Macaca mulatta: one gene and its partner. The protein of the gene in region 2 purifies or fractionates together with the protein of the main gene of each other region. This does not show direct contact. Links are inferred from orthologs where the notes say so. Each region holds a gene or a part of one and is shown on either strand. Other genes may lie near its edges. The genes, in order: PTPN6 and CD33.

Evidence for each region.
Region 1: the proteins of CD33 (region 2) and PTPN6 purify together in Homo sapiens (co-immunoprecipitation; 4 studies listed by BioGRID and IntAct, with this or other methods). This does not show direct contact. The link is inferred for Macaca mulatta from reciprocal best matches to the Homo sapiens genes CD33 and PTPN6.

The regions. Positions count from the first base shown.
Region 1 is NC_133416.1:7,925,560-7,934,394, forward strand, and holds part of PTPN6 (tyrosine-protein phosphatase non-receptor type 6), read left to right. Parts: intron 1-2,423; coding exon 2,424-2,613; intron 2,614-2,768; coding exon 2,769-2,885; intron 2,886-2,989; coding exon 2,990-3,103; intron 3,104-3,278; coding exon 3,279-3,375; intron 3,376-3,882; coding exon 3,883-3,962; intron 3,963-4,158; coding exon 4,159-4,308; intron 4,309-5,394; coding exon 5,395-5,526; intron 5,527-5,658; coding exon 5,659-5,813; intron 5,814-7,657; coding exon 7,658-7,725; intron 7,726-7,817; coding exon 7,818-7,969; intron 7,970-8,065; coding exon 8,066-8,157; intron 8,158-8,527; coding exon 8,528-8,642; 3' UTR 8,643-8,667; intron 8,668-8,804; 3' UTR 8,805-8,835. UniProt on the Homo sapiens protein: Tyrosine phosphatase enzyme that plays important roles in controlling immune signaling pathways and fundamental physiological processes such as hematopoiesis.
Region 2 is NC_133424.1:63,507,896-63,516,730, reverse strand, and holds the start of CD33 (myeloid cell surface antigen CD33), read right to left. Parts: upstream 8,630-8,835; 5' UTR 8,300-8,629; intron 8,139-8,299; 5' UTR 7,976-8,138; intron 7,107-7,975; 5' UTR 6,910-7,106; coding exon 6,877-6,909; intron 5,897-6,876; exon of another isoform or gene 5,763-5,896; coding exon 5,702-5,762; intron 5,640-5,701; coding exon 5,259-5,639; intron 5,050-5,258; coding exon 4,771-5,049; intron 4,545-4,770; coding exon 4,497-4,544; intron 1,001-4,496; coding exon 916-1,000; intron 575-915; coding exon 493-574; intron 22-492; coding exon of another isoform or gene 13-21; exon of another isoform or gene 1-12. UniProt on the Homo sapiens protein: Sialic-acid-binding immunoglobulin-like lectin (Siglec) that plays a role in mediating cell-cell interactions and in maintaining immune cells in a resting state.

The DNA of each region.
Region 1 (8,835 bases), on a different chromosome or scaffold from region 2:
CAGAGCCTAACCTACCACCCTTTCCACCTAACCCCGAGGAAGCCAAAGAAAGCTGCCTTGCCCTATACCAGGGGCCCTGGCCGCTGCAGCCCAGGTCCCACTAGACACAGGGAGGCCACTGCTGGTGGCCAGCATATCGTGCCGGCCAGCTCTGTTGTTAGAAAGCTCTTCTTCCTCTGGAAGCCAGCCTGCCCTCCTCCGTCTGCCTCTCACCCCAGTGCATGTCAGGACAGTGAGGAGCTGACACTGCGGATGAGGATGGGGATGAACGGTTGCCAGGACGCTTGACACCTTGTCCCAGCCGCCCAGTGGGGATGGGTCTGTCCTGTGGGGTCAAATACAGAGATCACTGAAAGCAGGATGTGAAGTGTTCACCTGTGTAAAGGGTCTCACACTGTCTCAGGCACAGAATAATACTCCAGGCATTTCCTTCCTGTGCCCTCCTCGACTCCTCCTGTGGTCTTCCAAAGGCATGGATGGGGGGCTGGGGAGCTTTGAACACTCCTCAGGACACCATAGCTCCTTCCAGCAGCCACATCTCAATGCCAGATCCTCTTAAAGGGCAGCGGAATAACGCTAGGGGGTTTTCACACGGACCCCTGGGCCAAGCCGACTTGCCCTTGCCCTGCATTCGTGGATCGATTGTTGAAATGATTGGGAAACTTGCTTCTGCCAGCTTGCAGCCTTTCTTAGATTCGGGCCTCCAAACTGCCTCAATATTTTTGGTCAGGTCACTGATTGAAACTTAGAGCTGGATTCGGTCGCGGTACAGCCCTGTGGCCCACCTGGGAGGCCTCCTTTCCTGGATCTGCCTCCTTCAAGGCCTTCCTCATCTGAGCCTCACATGGCTGGCTCTATGTCTGCCCCCTGCCCTTCCTCTTCCCCACTGCAACACTCAGGGGGCTTCTGCCAGCGAGACCCTCTAAAGCTCATGTCCTCTGTTTCTCCTTGCCTCAAGCTAGGAGGAGGAGGACGGGCTGACCAGTGCCTAGAGTTGGAAGAGAGGAGCAGGGCCCCAGGAGGCCCCTGCAGAGGAGGCTGAGGCCTGGGTTCAAAGAGAAGAGAGAGAAGGAAGGGAGGGCAGTGCTGGGGCAGGAGGTTAAGACCGGGGAAGCCACACAGAAGGCCCTTTTGGGTGACCCATCCCAGGAGCCAGTGTCACCCCCGAACCTGGGAGTGTGTGAGAGACTTTCTCCCAGGTTCTGCTGTGTCCCCTGCCTTGTCTGTGGCACCTCCTTCTCTGCGGGAATTTGCATCTGTCCCTCGGTGGCTCTGCGCTTCCTGTGGTCAGCCTGACATTTGCATGGAGACTTCCTCATCCTGGGGCCCAAGGGAAGGGGCTCAGCCCCCTCCCTGCTGCCTGGGGTCCTAGCCTGTCCCCAGGTGGTGGGCTGAAGTGGCCTAATGGGGTATGGAGGCTCTGGGGGGTCTCTCAGCTGGAGTCACCTCTGGGCAGGGGTGAGATGGGTTGGGACAGACTGGTCCTCCCCTCTTCCCCCCATCCCTGCGGTTGGAAAATTTGCCCGCCCTCCCCTTGTCCCTGGGCTGAGGAAACCTCACAACCTCACTTCTCACTCTCTCCCCAGAAGGAGTTTTGTGTTTTTTCCATCACGTGGTTTCCTGTGGGGCAGGGCATTGTGGGGCTACAGTTTCCTCCTGGGAAAGGGGTGTGCTTTGGGGAAAGGGCTTAGTTCTGCTTTCTGCCCCGACAGCCCCTTTGAATCCCTTTGAACCCTTTTGAACCCTGGGCTCCCCTTCAGTGACATCATCCAGGGCACCCCAGAGCCCCCTACACCACTCTTTCCCCAGTGGGGTTGTCCTCCCCGCCTCCCTGGGGGAGCGCACCCCATTGGCCTTCCTTGTGACTTGTGTCTCTCTGTCCATCTCCCGCCACTCCCTGTGGTGTGGCCTTGGTCTGTGTTTCTCTTTGCCTCTGGTCTCTGCCGGGGCACAGCCTGATCCTTCATGGAGACTCTTCCTTAGTTTCCCTCTTCCAAATATTTGGAATATTGCCAGCCCTTCTGCCTTTCAGAGGTGGTCTCTGGGTTCAAAGCCTGGTCAGAATTCTGGGGGCTAAGATAGCTTGAGCCTGGGAGGTCAAGGCTGCAGAGAGCAATAACCGTGCCCCTGCACTCCAGCCTGGGCAACAGAGCTCGGGAGGCTTGCCTTGGAGTCCATCAGGGGCCCTAGGCCAGTGAGTAACAGCTCAGCGTCAGTTTCCTCATCTATAAAATGGGGGTAATATCATACCCAGCCCTCAGCATGTTTGTGAGAGGCATCAATACGATGGTGGATTTGGAACCATCTAGCGCAGTGCCTGGCCACAGTAGGTGCTTGATTTCCTGCCCCTCTCTGTGAATATCTTTGCTCAGCACCTTCCCCTGTGGCCTGGGTCTCACCTTCCCTGACGCTGCCTTCTGTAGGTGGTACCATGGCCACATGTCTGGAGGGCAGGCAGAGACGCTGCTGCAGGCCAAGGGCGAGCCCTGGACATTTCTTGTGCGTGAGAGCCTCAGCCAGCCTGGAGATTTTGTGCTATCTGTGCTTAGTGACCAGCCCAAGGCTGGCCCAGGCTCCCCGCTCAGGGTCACCCACATCAAGGTCATGTGTGAGGTAAGGCAGCCAGGTGGTGGGGGAGCCTCTGCTGAGGCTCCTGTCTGTGACCGCAGTGTGGGTGGCAGGGAGGGTCTGCCTGGGCTTGAATTCAAGGCTGGGGCTCAGGGAGGGAGACTCGAGCCCTGTGAGTGGCCTTATTTGGCTCCCTCCAGGGTGGACGCTACACAGTGGGTGGTTCAGAGACCTTCGACAGCCTCACGGACCTGGTGGAGCACTTCAAGAAGACGGGGATTGAGGAGGCCTCAGGTGCCTTTGTCTACCTGCGGCAGGTCAGGCGGGGACCCAGCTGCTTCCTCCCTTCCCCTGAGCTGTCCCCCAGGTGTGAGCTTCTGAGACCTCTGAGTTGCTGACTTCTCGCTCTCCCCTATCCCAGCCGTACTACGCCACGAGGGTGAATGCGGCTGACATTGAGAACCGAGTCTTGGAACTGAACAAGAAGAAGGAGTCCGAGGATACAGCCAAGGCTGGCTTCTGGGAGGAGTTTGAGGTGCATGGTGGGGAACTGGCAGGGCTGGGGCAGCTGAGGCGGTGGCGGCCGCGTGGGGCCCCAGGCGGACACCTTCCTCCCCTTGCCCACCTCTGCTCCTGACCCACCCCACGTGAGCTCCCCTGATGGGTGCTCTCTCTGGGAGGTGATGCTCATTTCCTCACCCACATCTCAGAGTTTGCAGAAGCAGGAGGTGAAGAACTTGCACCAGCGTCTGGAAGGGCAGCGGCCAGAGAACAAGGGCAAGAACCGCTATAAGAACATTCTGCCCTGTGAGCACCCAGCCTGCCCCATTCACCCAGGAGACCGCCCCACCCCAGCCACTGCCCCTGCCCCATTCACCCAGGAGACCTCCCCTGCTGCAGCCGCTGCCCCTGCCCCATTCACCCAGGAGACTGCCCCGCCCCAGCCGCCACCCCTGCCCCATTCACCCACCCAGGAGACCGCCCCGCTCCAGCCGCCGCCCCTATCTCACAGGTCTCCACCCTCCACTCCAGGAGGGGCCACCTCCCCACACCCCTTCTCCAAAAGGCCTCTACTCCTCCCAGAAGTGCCTCCCCACCATCAGCAGGCAGGCTGCCCCTTGCTCCCAACCTCCTTCTTGTGAATCCCCTCACTCCCTCCGTACAGATGATCCCCCACCCCTGCTGCCCACAGTCCCCCGCAAGCCTCATGGCTTCTGAGACCAGAACGGCCTGTTAGCTCAGGAGGGTCTGACGCAGGTGTGGTGAGTCCCTGGCTGACCCAGGCCATCTCGCCTCCTCTCCACCCACTCCCAGTTGACCACAGCCGAGTGATCCTACAGGGACGTGACAGTAACATCCCGGGGTCCGACTATATCAATGCCAACTACATCAAGGTCAGTGGTGTGGGTCATGTGGGAGGAGAGGCTGGGCCCTGGGAATTCCCTGTCTGGTGGGGGACCCTAGATCCAGAGACACCTGGGCAAAGCCAAAGCTGGCTTCTTGCATGGGTGAGGGGAGCAGTGGTTCAGGCCCTGTGCTGGGCTGAGGGGCTCACTGTTTTGGGGTGCGTCTCTCCACGCTTGTGTCCAGAACCAGCTGCTAGGCCCTGATGAGAACACTAAGACCTACATCGCCAGCCAGGGCTGTCTAGAGGCCACGGTCAACGACTTCTGGCAGATGGCGTGGCAGGAGAACACCCGCGTCATCGTCATGACCACCCGAGAGGTGGAGAAAGGCCGGGTAGGGCACCCCGCCCCATCCCCACATCCTTGCCCCGTCCTTGTGGTCATACCATTAAGTCAAAGAACCGTCAGATGCCAGAGCAGAAAGGGATCTCGGGGGTGAGGGTCCAGCCTTGTTGGGAAACTGAGGGCTAGTGACAAAGTCTCGACTACACGATGCAACCCCCAGATCCCTGCATGCACCCCTGGGCTCTTCTGAGCTCCAGACCCAGGTTTTAGGCTGTCCTCCTTCCTCCTACACCTTCCCCACCTGTCTGCATCCAGGCCCCTCCTGTCCTCCCTGCCCCATAGATGTCTGTGGAGTCTGCCCCTCACTCTGCAGCCTCCCCTTACACAGCACCCTCTGTGCTGCCGTTGAAGTGATGCCATCCGTGACAAACTGGGTCGAGTTCCTTCCCCTCTGAAATCTCTTCCATGGCTCCTGGTCACCTTTGGGATAAAGTCACACTCGAAGGCCTGGCGTTCAAGGCCTGGTGGTTTCCCTCTGACTCCCACGCTTCTCTTGAAGGCTCACCGCTTCCAGCAGCCGCGGCTCTTTCAGGTTCCCAGCCTTTCTTTGCACAAGCTCTTTTCTGCTAGGAAATGACTCTGTCTCCACACTGTCTCCGCCCGGCAGATGCCTCGTGTTTGAAGACACAGCTGAAGCGCTGCCTTCTCTGTGAATTCAGGTCTTGTTTTCTCCAGGACCTAGAGGGCGAGTTTCCTCGTTCCCAGCCACGCTCCTCAGCGCGGCGTCTCCCCGGTCACTTGTCTCTGTGAGCTCCTCCAGGCACAGGGGCACAGACTGGGTGTTAGCTGTGTCTGTGACTACAGCCTGGTTTGCACGGCTTCGGGGACAACGCCTGCCTCGGCAATGTTTGTTGAATGACAAATGGATGTACCAGTAAAGCGGCTGGCCAGGTCGCACCACCTGTTGGTGGCTGATCTGAGACGAGAGCCCAGGTCTCCTGCCTCTCTGCCAGCTCATCTATCCATCCAACAAACGTTTGGGCCGGTGCCAGGCACTCAGAACCTAGAGCGGGACCTGGGATGGGCCACAGCGCCCTGCTCTGTGCCTCATCCCCACCCGACCCTCCCTTTCCAGAACAAATGTGTCCCATACTGGCCCGAGGTGGGCACTCAGCGCGTTTATGGGCCCTACTCTGTGACCAACTGCGGGGAGCATGACACGACCGAATACAAACTCCGCACCTTACACGTCTCCCCACTGGACAATGTGAGCGGCCCCCACTCCCTGCCCTGCTCCGGGAGTCCCTCCCGGACTTGTTCTCCTCTCTGGTGGGGTAGGGCGAGACAGGTGGGGTGTTCCGAGGGAGCAGGGGGCACTGACCCTGTGTCCTCGGCCCAGGGGGACCTCATTCGGGAGATCTGGCATTACCAGTACCTGAGCTGGCCCGACCATGGGGTCCCCAGTGAGCCTGGGGGTGTCCTCAGCTTCCTGGACCAGATCAACCAGCGGCAGGAAAGTCTGCCTCATGCAGGGCCCATCATCGTGCACTGCAGGTGAGGATGATAATCCTGATGGTAGTAGTGGCCGCTGAGAAGTAAATACTGCTAAGTGCCATGAGCGTTATAAGCAACATACACGTTAGCTCACACGATTAGTGCCTTCCGCTCACTCCCAGCTTCTTCTGGGTCCCCTCATGGCTCCAGACCCCTGGGTGGAACGTGGCTGGAACCAGCCCCACTTTGGCCCTCTGCCTGTGGTTGTCTTCCTCAGAGCCCTCCCCAGATGTACCATCTCGCCCAACCCTGCCAAATACAGAGGAGGAACCTGGGACCCAGTTGCTGGCCAGGCCCAAGCTAGGCAGGGCAAGGCCGGGCAGGCACCCACAGTAGGCCTGGGTCCTGGCTGCTCCGCTTTCTCTCCAGGTCTCACTCCGTTGGTTTCTTCTCGCCTCCCAGGAACATCCATGGGGCTTGTGCTCCCCGTTCCTCCTCTTTTTCCATCGGTAGACCCAGGGCTTTGGCTTGTTCCTGACTCCGCCCTCTCTCCCAGCTTCCCCAGGCGGCGCCCCATCCTGGCCCCCAGGGCTGTGTGGGGATGGACAATGCCTTTTTGGGGGTGCACATAGCTCCTCTATCTACCCTCATGTTTGTGATCAGGAGACCCTGGTAAGGTGCAGAGGTGGGGGCCTCAAGGAGGAGCAGGGGTCCCACAGATGAGCCCACTGAGCCCGCCTGGCCTGGGTGGATGAGAGGCAGCGGGTGCAGGGCCCCTCCGCTTACCAGCTGCGTGATCTTGGACAAATTACTTAACTTTTCTAACCCTCAGCTTCCTCCTCTGTAAAATCAGGACCTCAGGGTTGTAGTGAGAACTCAATGAGACCCTGTCGTTGCGGCTGGAATTCCGTCAGCCCTCAAACACGGGGCGCTGTTACTGGTTTAGTAACTCACGTCAGGCAGAGAATGGGGGAAATGAGAACCTGCCTTGCTCTGGTCCCTTCCCACTCCCACCGTGGACCCCAGGCCTGCGACAGTCTCTGGCTTCCTCCTCTTCCCCCAGCAGCTGTTTGTCCTGGGACAAGTCAGCTGAATCTAGAGGTGCCCCCGATGGGCTGTCTCGGGGACCCGGCTCTGTCCTCTGCTCTCTCAGAGACAGGCCCATCCCCGAGAGCTACCCTCCTGCTCACCCGCCACACACACATCACACACTTCTTGGAAGCCCCGTGGCCTTTATTTAGACGTTACAGGAAGGAAGTGGGTGTGGGGGGTTATTTTTGACAATCTGGGTTTGAAATTAGACAGTGCGACTCAGGGCATCAGCCTGATGGGCCCAGCCGAGGGTGGGCCTGGGGTCTCCCTGGCGTCTGTTTGCCCAGGGGTGGGAAAGAAGAGAAGCTTCCTACGGCCCTGCTCCTCCGAGCGCCCTGACCCGGCGCGCCTGCACCCTGCTGTCTCAGGGGTGTCCTTTTCCTGATGTCAGGGTTTGAAGAAAAACGAAGTGAACCGTGCTGAGAGACGCACCAGATCTCCTGCAGGGAGAGGCGGGGAGGGCTCAGGGTACCTGGGAGCCGACAGGATAGTGGTGGGATTTGGGGGTCCCAGGTCTTCCGGGGTGGGGGCAGCCACTCACCAGGAGTGGGGAGTCGGCGCGAGGAGTGGAGGAGGGAAGGATGGTGGCAGCCGGGGAGACGGCGTCAACACCACAGAGCCAGAGTGGAGCGCGCCCATGCAGAGCTGGGCAAACGTCCGTCGTCACTTGCCCGGTGACCCTGGGCACATTCCCTCCCATCACTGGAGGCTCAGGCTGCTCCTGTGGTGCCTGGGGCTGGAGCTGAGCACTGGGTACCCCCCTTCCCGGGAGGGCTTGACTGGCCTCTGACCGTACCCCCGTCTTTCCCCAGCGCCGGCATTGGCCGCACGGGCACCATCATTGTCATCGACATGCTCATGGAGAACATCTCCACCAAGGGTGAGGGGCACCTGGGGGCTTGGGAGTGGGGCTGAGCAGCCTCTCGGTGTCTGCCTATGCCTGGACCTGAGGTTTGACTGCCCCCCACCCAGGCTTGGACTGTGACATTGACATCCAGAAGACCATCCAGATGGTGCGGGCGCAGCGCTCAGGCATGGTGCAGACAGAGGCGCAGTACAAGTTCATCTACGTGGCCATTGCCCAGTTCATTGAAACCACCAAGAAGAAGCTGGAGGTCCTGCAGGTGTGTGCAGAGCAGGGCCTGGGGGGCTGCAGTGCGGGGCAGGCGCCACCTAGCCGTGCTGGGACCACCACCCTCCCACCATCCCTCTGTCCATAGTCGCAGAAGGGCCAGGAGTCGGAGTATGGGAACATCACCTACCCCCCAGCCATGAAGAACGCCCATGCCAAGGCCTCCCGCACCTCGTCCAAGTGAGTGGCCCTGACTGCCACTGCCCGGCATCCACCCCTTTGTCCTGCCCAACCCGATCCTCACTTTCTGGAGAGGACAAGTGTCACAACTGGGGGGGCCTGGCTTCAAGTTCAGGCTTGGGTCTCACCCTTTCTATTCATAAGCATTTCCCGAGTGCCCACCACGTGTGGGCCTCTGCTAGGTACCAGCCGTGCACTCCTGTATGAGATGTAGCCTCTGTCCTCTAGGAGCTTGGAGTCTAGTGCGGGGACAGTGGCTGGGTCGCCTGTGAGATGGGGTGGCCAGAGGGGGCTGCCAGTGCCGAGTCCCCCGCGCTGTCTCCTGACCTGCACCCACTGCCTGTACTTGCCCCCCTGCACCCCGCTGCAGACACAAGGAGGATGTGTATGAGAACCTGCACAGTAAGAACAAGAGGGAGGAGAAAGTGAAGAAGCAGCGGTCAGCAGACAAGGAGAAGAGCAAGGGTTCCCTCAAGAGGAAGTGAGCGGCGCTGTCCTCAGGTGGCCATGGTACAGTTCTTCTGCCTGGGTGTCCTCCCGGCCCTGCCCCGTGTCCTTGGCTCCACTGCCTTCCCTGGGTGGATGGGGTGGCCGTAGCCTCACTCTGTGCTTCCCAGATGCCCCAGACCTTCTTGTTCCCCCTCCAGGTTCCAGCCACCCTCTCACTCCCTCACTCGC
Region 2 (8,835 bases):
GATCTGTTGGCCTCAACATACCTGAATAACATTAAAACCTACACTGTTGGGGCCAGGCATGGTGGCTCATGCCTGTAATCCCAGCACTTTGGGAGGCCTAGGTGGGCGGATCACGAGGTCAGGAGATCGAGACCATCCTGGCTAACACGATGAAACCCTGTCTCTACTAAAAATACAAAAAATTAGCTGGGCATGGTGGTGGGTGCCTGTAGTCCCAGCTACTCGGGAGGCTGAGGCAGGATAGTGGCTTGAACCTGGTAGGCGGAGCTTGCAGTGAGCCGAGGTTGTGCTACTGCACTTCAGCCTGGGTGACAGAGCGGGACTCTGTCTCAAAAGAACAAAAACAAAACAAAACAAAAAAACTTACACTGTTAAACAGGAGGAAAGACAATAAGCTCAGTTCTGGAAATGCTGAATGGGGCATGACTGTGGGCCATGTTGGGAGGAGGTGTCTGCAGGGCATCCTGGATGCCAGCATGCCCCATCACTCACCGAGGATGTTGGCCCTGTGGCGGGGTGGGTGTCGATCCTGCCCACTGCTGTCCTGGCTGCTTTCCTCCTGTGAGTCTTCACTCTGATGGGAGACACCAGGGTCTTTGAGCCTGGTTTTCTCAGGCTGTGGGGCCATTGTTATGAGCCTGGAATGAGGGACTTTGGCAGGTAAGGGGTGGAATTAATCCAGGAGCCTTCAAACAAAACTTAGTAACAAGGTCTTCCTCTACCTCCCACTCCTTGGACATCTGAGACCAGGGCCCTAGCATAGACCCATGCCTAGCCCAGTGGCTACAGGCTAGATTCTGTAGATTACCACACCCCCTGCCCTTTCTCCAGCCCTCACAGCCCCTCCAGGACCCTTCTACACGAGGTCCATCCTCTCCACCTCTGGTCCACGCCTGACCCAGAGAAAATGCTCACGTGAAGAAGATGAGGCAGAGACAAAGAGCGAGCAGGACTGTGACACCAGCTCCCCCGATGGCTCCCTGAACCACTCCTTGTTTCCCTGCAGACAAAAAAGACATGGGGTGAACTCTAATCTGGATAAACAGGTATGTGTATCCTCCTCTCCAGCATGTAGAGAGGGATGACTTCACCTCCAAAATGGGGTTTGGCTCCTAGATCCTCCCATCCATCATAGACATGAATATTGACCATGACCGTGAGACGAAGTACACAGTACACCTGACACCTCTTGTCCCACCTTCTCTCTCCAGTGCACAAAACACCATCTCTCCTAGGACCCAGGTTCCTCTCCACCCTCGGTCTCTCTGAAATGAACCTCAGAAACGGCCACTGAAGGACTGTGAAGCTCTGAGCCTCTTGGATGACAGAGAGAGAGAGAGAGAAAGAGAGAGAGAGAGAGAGAGAGTAAGCACTGGAATGCTGATAGGCCTTGTCTCTTCTTTCTTCCCACTGGCCCCATCACTCAGGGTCAAAGGTGCTCCTTTTGGCCTTCAAAAGTGCCTGGAATCAGGGTGGGGCAGGGAGGTGGTTCTCAGACCTTCTTAGACCCAGATAGTTCTCCTGGACCTGCCTGGCTGTACCTTCTAGATCCCAACACTCAGAGTCAGGGGCGTTTCTCTGAGCATCATCTGTCAACAGTTTGATGACAACTACTGAGGGAACTATTCCTGCCCTCACTGGGTTCACTGTCCTCTGAGGGACCAGGCCATTATTAATTGGAATAAGGCAGTGGAGTGAGCACTTTGGACAGAGGTCAGGGGTAAGGGTTGAGGTATGGACAATAGAAAAAAAAAAAAAATGCCCTAAAGAGATTTTTGGGGAAGTGTGACTATTCTATATGATACTCTCATGGTGGATTCATGTCATCATACATTTTTTAGAAACCTGTAAAATGTACAACACCAACAGTGAACTTTAATGTAAACTATGGGCTTCAGGTGACAATGATATGTCAATGTAGGTTTATTGATTGTAACAAATGTACCATTTTGATGGGGGATGCTGATGGCCAGGGAAACTATGTGTAAGGGTAGAGGGCATATGGGAAGTCTTTGTACCTTCTGCTCAATTTTTTCATGAAAAATAAAGTTCATTTATAAATGCTCCCAAGATGTTCAGCGACTAGAAGATTCCACTCAATTTTGCTGTGAAACGAACACTACTCTGAAAAATAAAACCTATTAAAAAAATGCTCCCATTGGAGCAAAATGGCTGACCAGAGGTGCCTGGAACTCATCCTCCCCCATCCCCCCGGGCAGGAAAGGGCCAAGGCAATGAATAAACAGCAGAGATTTGAGTGGAGTGTCGAAGGCAGAGTACTGTAGTGCAGCAGGGGAGTGGAGAGTTACCTGTGGTAATTGGAAGCCCAGGAGGGCAGCATGGAGGCACCCAGACTTTGCAGCTCCCTCTCCCCAGCCCAGATTGGTTTGTCCCAGAGACAGGAAGGATTTCCCCTTGTAGGGAAATGAGAAGCAGAAGAATACAACCAACCCCCAGTGCCCACTGCAGATACCTACATTCCTTACTACAGGTTAATCCTGCAGTCCTCACAAGCTCTGAGCACCGTTGGAAGAGCTGCCAGGAATTCATGCAGCTGCATGGTTCTGGATTAGGAGCACACGGTGTGCACTCCCAACTCCCTAACCAGCCCCTGTGGGCAAGCTGCTGCGACACAGTACCATCTCGAGACCACAGCCGTCTCTGGAGTGTACCCTCCTCTGGGGGCCAGTGGCCACACACCTCTTCATCACTGTAACTCCATCTTCGTTCCACTAAGCCTGCAGTAATGGCTGAATACCACAATTAGAGCTGCATGGAGCCTGGGCCCAGGATTGGCTGGAACTCTGGTCCTGAACAGCAGAGAAACCAATCCCTGCTGCCTGTACTTCCAGCTGGAGGAAGAGTCTTATGGTCCCACTCAGTCTCTTCAATAAATGATGCTGGAAAAACTGGTGCCATATGCAGAAGAATGAAACTAGACTCACACCTCTCATCCTATGCAAAAATCAATTCAAAATGGATTGAAGACCTTAATGTAAGACACAAAAATATAAACATACTAGAAGAAAACATAGGGGAAATGCTGTAGGACATTGGTCTGGAAAAATATTCTATGAGTAAGACCTCGCAAGCACAAGTAACAAAAGCAAAAGCAAATAAACAAGATAATGTCAAGCTAAAAAGCTTCTATGCAGCAAAGGAAACAATCAACAGAGTGAAAAGGCAACCTACAGAATAGGAGAAAATATTTGTCAGCTATTCATCTGACAAATGATTCATATACACAATATACAAGGAACTCATGCATCTCAATGGCAAAGACACCCAATCTGATTTAAAAATGGGCAAATTATCTGAGTAGACATTTCTCTAGAGAAGATATACAGATGGCCAACAAATATATGAAAAATGCTCAGCATCACCAATCACCAGGGAAATGCAAATCAAAACCACAATGAAGTAACGTCACCCCAGTTGGGAGGACTATGATAAAAAAAAAGATGAAAATTAACAAATGATGGTGAGGATGTAGAGAAGAGGGAATTCTTAAATGCTTTTGACCAGAATGTAAACTAGTATAACCACTACTAGTATATGTAGTTTTTTTTCCTCAAAAATATACAAATAGAACTACCATATGATCCAGCAATCCCACTACTGGGCATTTATATAATGGAAAGGAAATCAGTATATTGAAGAAACGTCTGCACCTCTGTGTTTATTGCAGCAGTAACCACAATAGGAAGATATGAAATAAACCTAAGTGTCCAACAACAGATGAATAAATAAAGGAAATGTGGCATATATACACAATGGATTATCATTCAGCCATAAAAAATAATGAAATCTTGTTATTCACTATAACATAGATTGAACTAGAAGACATTATGTTAAATGAAATAAGCCAGGAACACAAAGTTAAATACCACATGTTCTTACTCATAAGTGGAAGCTAAAAAAAGTTGATTTCATGGAAGTAAAAAGTAGAACAGAGAATAATAAGGGCTGGGAAGGTTAGGGGAACAATGATAAGGAGAGAGATTTGTTAAAAGATACAAGATCACACTTGGAAAGGAAGAGTAAGTTCTGGTATTCTATACCACTGTGGGATGACTGTGGTTAAAAATAATAGATAGTTTCAAATAGCTAGAGAGGGGATATTGAATGTTTCCAACACAGTGAAATGATAAATGTTCAAAATGACGGATATGCTATTACCCTGATCTGATTACTATATGTTATTAGTATTGAAACATCACTATGCCATCCATAAATATGTACTATTATTATGTATCAATTAAAAATAAAATACCCCAAGACATTCAGTGACAGGAGGGAGACAAAGAGCATTATTTGGATGGGCAAGGAGGAAGTTGCTAGTCATCCCCAAATATCCTTATCCAAGGTGTCCGATGTCTACCTGTGTCTAACTGCAGGCCTTGCCTCTGAACATTTGACTCTGAAAGTCCAGATCTGACCAAACGTGACACAGACTCAACCCAGTAACAGCCTCAGGCAGGGAGGCGCCTTCCTACCTGAGCCGTCTCCTAGAAAGATATCAGTTCTTGGGTTCTGTGAAGCATCTAAGAGAGGAAGAGAGGATTTCCTTCAGTTGGGAGTAGAGATGCAATAAGGGTAGGCATTTCCCCTCACTCCTGCCAAAGCCACAGAAATGCAGAAGGGACAGGGCTCATGTCCTTCTAACTGCCGAACTCAGCCAGGTCCCCAGGACACGAAATGTCCCCAGCACCAGCCCATCCTGTCTCCCCTACGCACTCAGGGACCCGAGCATCCTGGCCCAGCACTCACAGGAGACATTAAGCTGGATGGTTCTCTCCGTGGTCACGCCAGCTCCAGGGAACTTCACCTGACAGGTGAGGTTGGTGCCGTGGTCCTGGGGCCGTGGGGTGATTATGAGCACCGAGGAGTGAGTGGTCCTGAGGCCCAGGGAGGTGGGGGCAGCTGACATCCAGGAGAAGATTGGAGGTGTTCCCTGCTCACAGGCCCAGGGCACAGAGCAGGTCAGGTTTTTGGAGTGGTCAGGGTCTAGGGCTCCAGGGATGAGGATTTGGGGCCTGTGGGTCAAGTCTAGTGAGAAGAAGCAGGGGGGGGGATGCAGAATCAAGAGGGAGCGTCCAGGTGAGGGCCTGAGAGAAGATCAACCTCTGGTCAAGCTCCCCTGCTAAGCATGACAGGCTTTACCCCTAAACCCCTCCCAGTACCAGGGTCCCATCCCAGCCCTGCCCTGTAGTACCCATGACCTTCCCTTGTGACCACTTCTGGAGCCTGTGCCTCACCTGTCACATGCACAGAGAGCTGGGTAGATTTGTAACTGTATTTGGTACTTCCTTTCTCCATCCGAAAGAAGTATGAACCGTTATCCCTCCTCCTGGCATCTACGATGCTCAGGGAGCAGTTGTTCCTACTGGGATCCCCAAGGAGGCGGAATCGGCCCTGGGTCTCCTCCCGTACTTCTTGATCTAGCTTGTTTGTGGCCACTGGAGAGTCCAAGGATACAATGGCTCCTTCCCGGAACCAGTAACCATGAACTGGGGAATTCCTGGTGTGGTAGGGTACGGGATGGAAGAAAGTGCAGGGCACAAGGACGCACAAACCCTCCTGTACTGTCACTGACTCCTGCACTTCCAGCCTGACTCTTGGATCCATAGCCAGGGCCCCTGTGGGGAAATGAGGGTCAGCTTGGCCCAGCCCGACAACCCCCCTCCCAGCAGTCACTCACCTGCCCACAGCAGGGGCAGCAGCAGCAGCGGCATGTCTGAGGCTGAGGTTTCCTGGGCTCCCTGTGTGAGCAGAGAACAGGAAAGGAGTGGAGGAGAAGGGCTAGGGGGCCGGATAGGAAGCTGGGGAGGAGCAGGAGACCTCAGCCCTGCATGGAAGAGGAACCTCAGACCCACACGTGCTCAGAGCTTGTCCCTTCCACACAGATTGAACCTCATGGGCCAGAGATGCCAGAGATCCGCCCAGAGAGGGGAGGAGATGGAGCAGAATCTGAGTCTTGCCTCCCAGGAGCACCGGAGCCTGGACCAGTACCTCCGGGGCCATCTGAGACATGCAAACCCCATGTCTAAAATCCTTCCACTCTGAGGTACTTTTCTGTGAACAACTGTTTGCATGGGGGCTGGTCACTGCTGGCCTGGCCCGAGTCACAGGCTCGCCTAGATCCATGGGGTGATTTGTCCAGCAGGATATAGGATTCTATAGGGTCTGTGTGAGTGTCTGGGGCAGAGAAACAAAGAAGAGTCCTAGGTAAAGTGAAGGTGGCAGCCATTCACTAAAGACATAGTGAGTGACAGAGCAGGACCACTGTCATCTCGGACAAACACCGCCACTTTAAGTTCCAACTCCCTTTCTAGCCTCATGCATTTCAAGGAAATCACTTCTCTGCTAACTACCAGCAGCCAGAAAGAGCAGACCGGTGAAACACGGATAAGACAGCTCAGGCACAGAGGGAGGTTGGGGGGAAAGTCTCTTGAGTTATTGCCAAACTTCACTCTCATCCAATGGGCCCTAGTAAAACAGTGGGCCTTAATAAGCACATTCCTTTGCCTTCAGGTGCACTAAGTTGGAAAGCTAAATGCAGACTCAGTGGGTATGCCTGCAGCTGCAAAAAGATGTATGGGAACAGATACACAACTCTCCCTCCCAGATAAGCACAACAAAGAGACACAGAAGCAGTCCAAGCCTCTGATAAACCCTCCCACCCTAAATCCTTAAAAACTCTTAGTCTGTAAGAGAGTGTGCCTCTACCTAACTCAGCCAGAAACTCCTCTCAGGTTTGTTTTCTCTAAAACCTGTCTTGACTGGCGAGCCACCATACATGTTTCTTTCTTCTTTCTTTAATTCTTACATTGAGCCTTTGTGTGTAGGTGGGGCTTGAGAAGAGATGCCACTGACCTGATTCCTGCCCTTGAGATGTTCCCCATCCATAGCCTCATGTCCTCACCACACACACACATATACTGTCTGGATTTAGAGCTGTGAAAAATTGGGAATTTGCCATGTGTCATGGGAGCATATTGGAAAATTTGAAAGAAATTTGACTATAGAATTTTCCCCTGGCAGCTAGTACACTGCTTTGCACAGTGTCGATGACATCTCCAAAATAAGAACTATGCAGCATCTTCCTGTAAAACAAAAGGGAGAACACATGTTCGTTCTATGAACCAGTGCAGAAAAAAACTTTTTTGTGTTCATGCTGCTATTTGGTTCAGTATGGGCAGAAGCAAGTTTTTTTAGAGGCTCATGATATGGATCAACATTTTCATGTAAAAATCTGCTTCTCACAGTTAAATATGGCCCAAAGACATAATATTTCCAGACAACATGAGTGGAATGTACAGAGAAAATTAAACTTTAGGTCCAGCTACGTGGTTGTCCATATCACTCTGTGTAGTATGCATCCAGCAACCCTTGATCCCTGGGACATATTAGTACTTGCCACCTTACCTTTGTCAAATCTCTACACACAATAGTATCTAGATAACTCTTAATTCGTCCTTACTAATAGAGAGGTAGAATCCTCATTTGATATACAACAAATTAAGTCTCCAGTAAATAATATCTGTTGTAAGTTATTTAGCATGCGGCACATAATGGAAAATTCAGTACATTTAGTGCTTTTTTTTTTTTTTTTTAAGACAGGGTCTTGCTCTGTTGCCCAGGCTGGAGTGCACTGGCATGATCACAGCTCACTGCAGCCTTGACCTCCCAGGCTCAAGTGACTCTCCCAGCTCATCCTCCCTAGTAGCTGGGACCACAGGCTCATACTACCAGGCTGGAGTAATTTTTTGTTTTTATTTTTAGGAGAGATGGGGTCTTGCTATGTTCCCCAGGCTGGTCTTGAACTGCTGGGTTCAAACAATCCTCCCACCTTGGCCTCCAAAGTGCTTTGACTATGGGCGTGAGGCACTGTGCCCAGTCACATTTAGTTTTAACAATAAAGTCATACTATGTTCATGGACCAGAAGATCAAATATGAATATGTGAGTCTTACTGTGTTTCTTTAATGAATTTAATGAAGGCCCGAGAACCAAGAGCAGATGGATTTCCCAGCTCCAGAAGAAGGAGCAAGCTCATGCTTCCCTCTAGCTCTTTCCTTCTACGATTCTGTCATCTGATCCTTGGCCCCAGCAGAGTCCCCGCTCCCTGGCTGGAGCCTGAAAGAGAGAGAGAGAGGATGGGGAGGAGGGACCTCTCCTGGGCCCTGTCTCCAACATCCTCCATCCCCACATAACAGCACATCTAAGAATAAAGCGCATGCTCAGTGCAGGTCTACACGAATGAATGCTTTAATAAATGGTGGGGGCTGTTTCCCTACCTTCTTCCTAATTCACACTGCAAAGCTGCCCCTGATGAGGCGTCCCTCGTCCATCTTTTTCTTACGGATGCGTCTGCTTCCTGCGGCAACCTCTGCCGAGGCTCCCACGTATGTCTGTTTCTCTCACTTTTCAGGAGCTCTGAGCGGCCTGTATGTGTGCATCCGTGCTGGCTTATACCAGGTAGAGCCGCAGTCTATTCTCTTCTGCAGACGGAAGAGCAACGTGTGTTTGATTTGAATGCAGGAAGTACGTTTGCTCCCATGTGCTGAAAGATTTTGTGGTAAAACTTCCCTGTAGTGTGGCGCCAAGGGAAGCCCTCTTCTCTCTCTGCAGCAGTTCGTGGGATGACTTTTTTGTTTTTACCAACCTCCCATCCAATACGGAGCAAGCCACGGGAGAACCTCCTGTGATCCTCAACACACGAGAAGTGAATGAGCGAGTACGTCCTCCACCGTCGGGACCAACTTTTACGGGGATTTGTAGAGGCTGTAATTCACAGTATGGCCACCAGAGGGCAGTCATAACCCTTCACTTT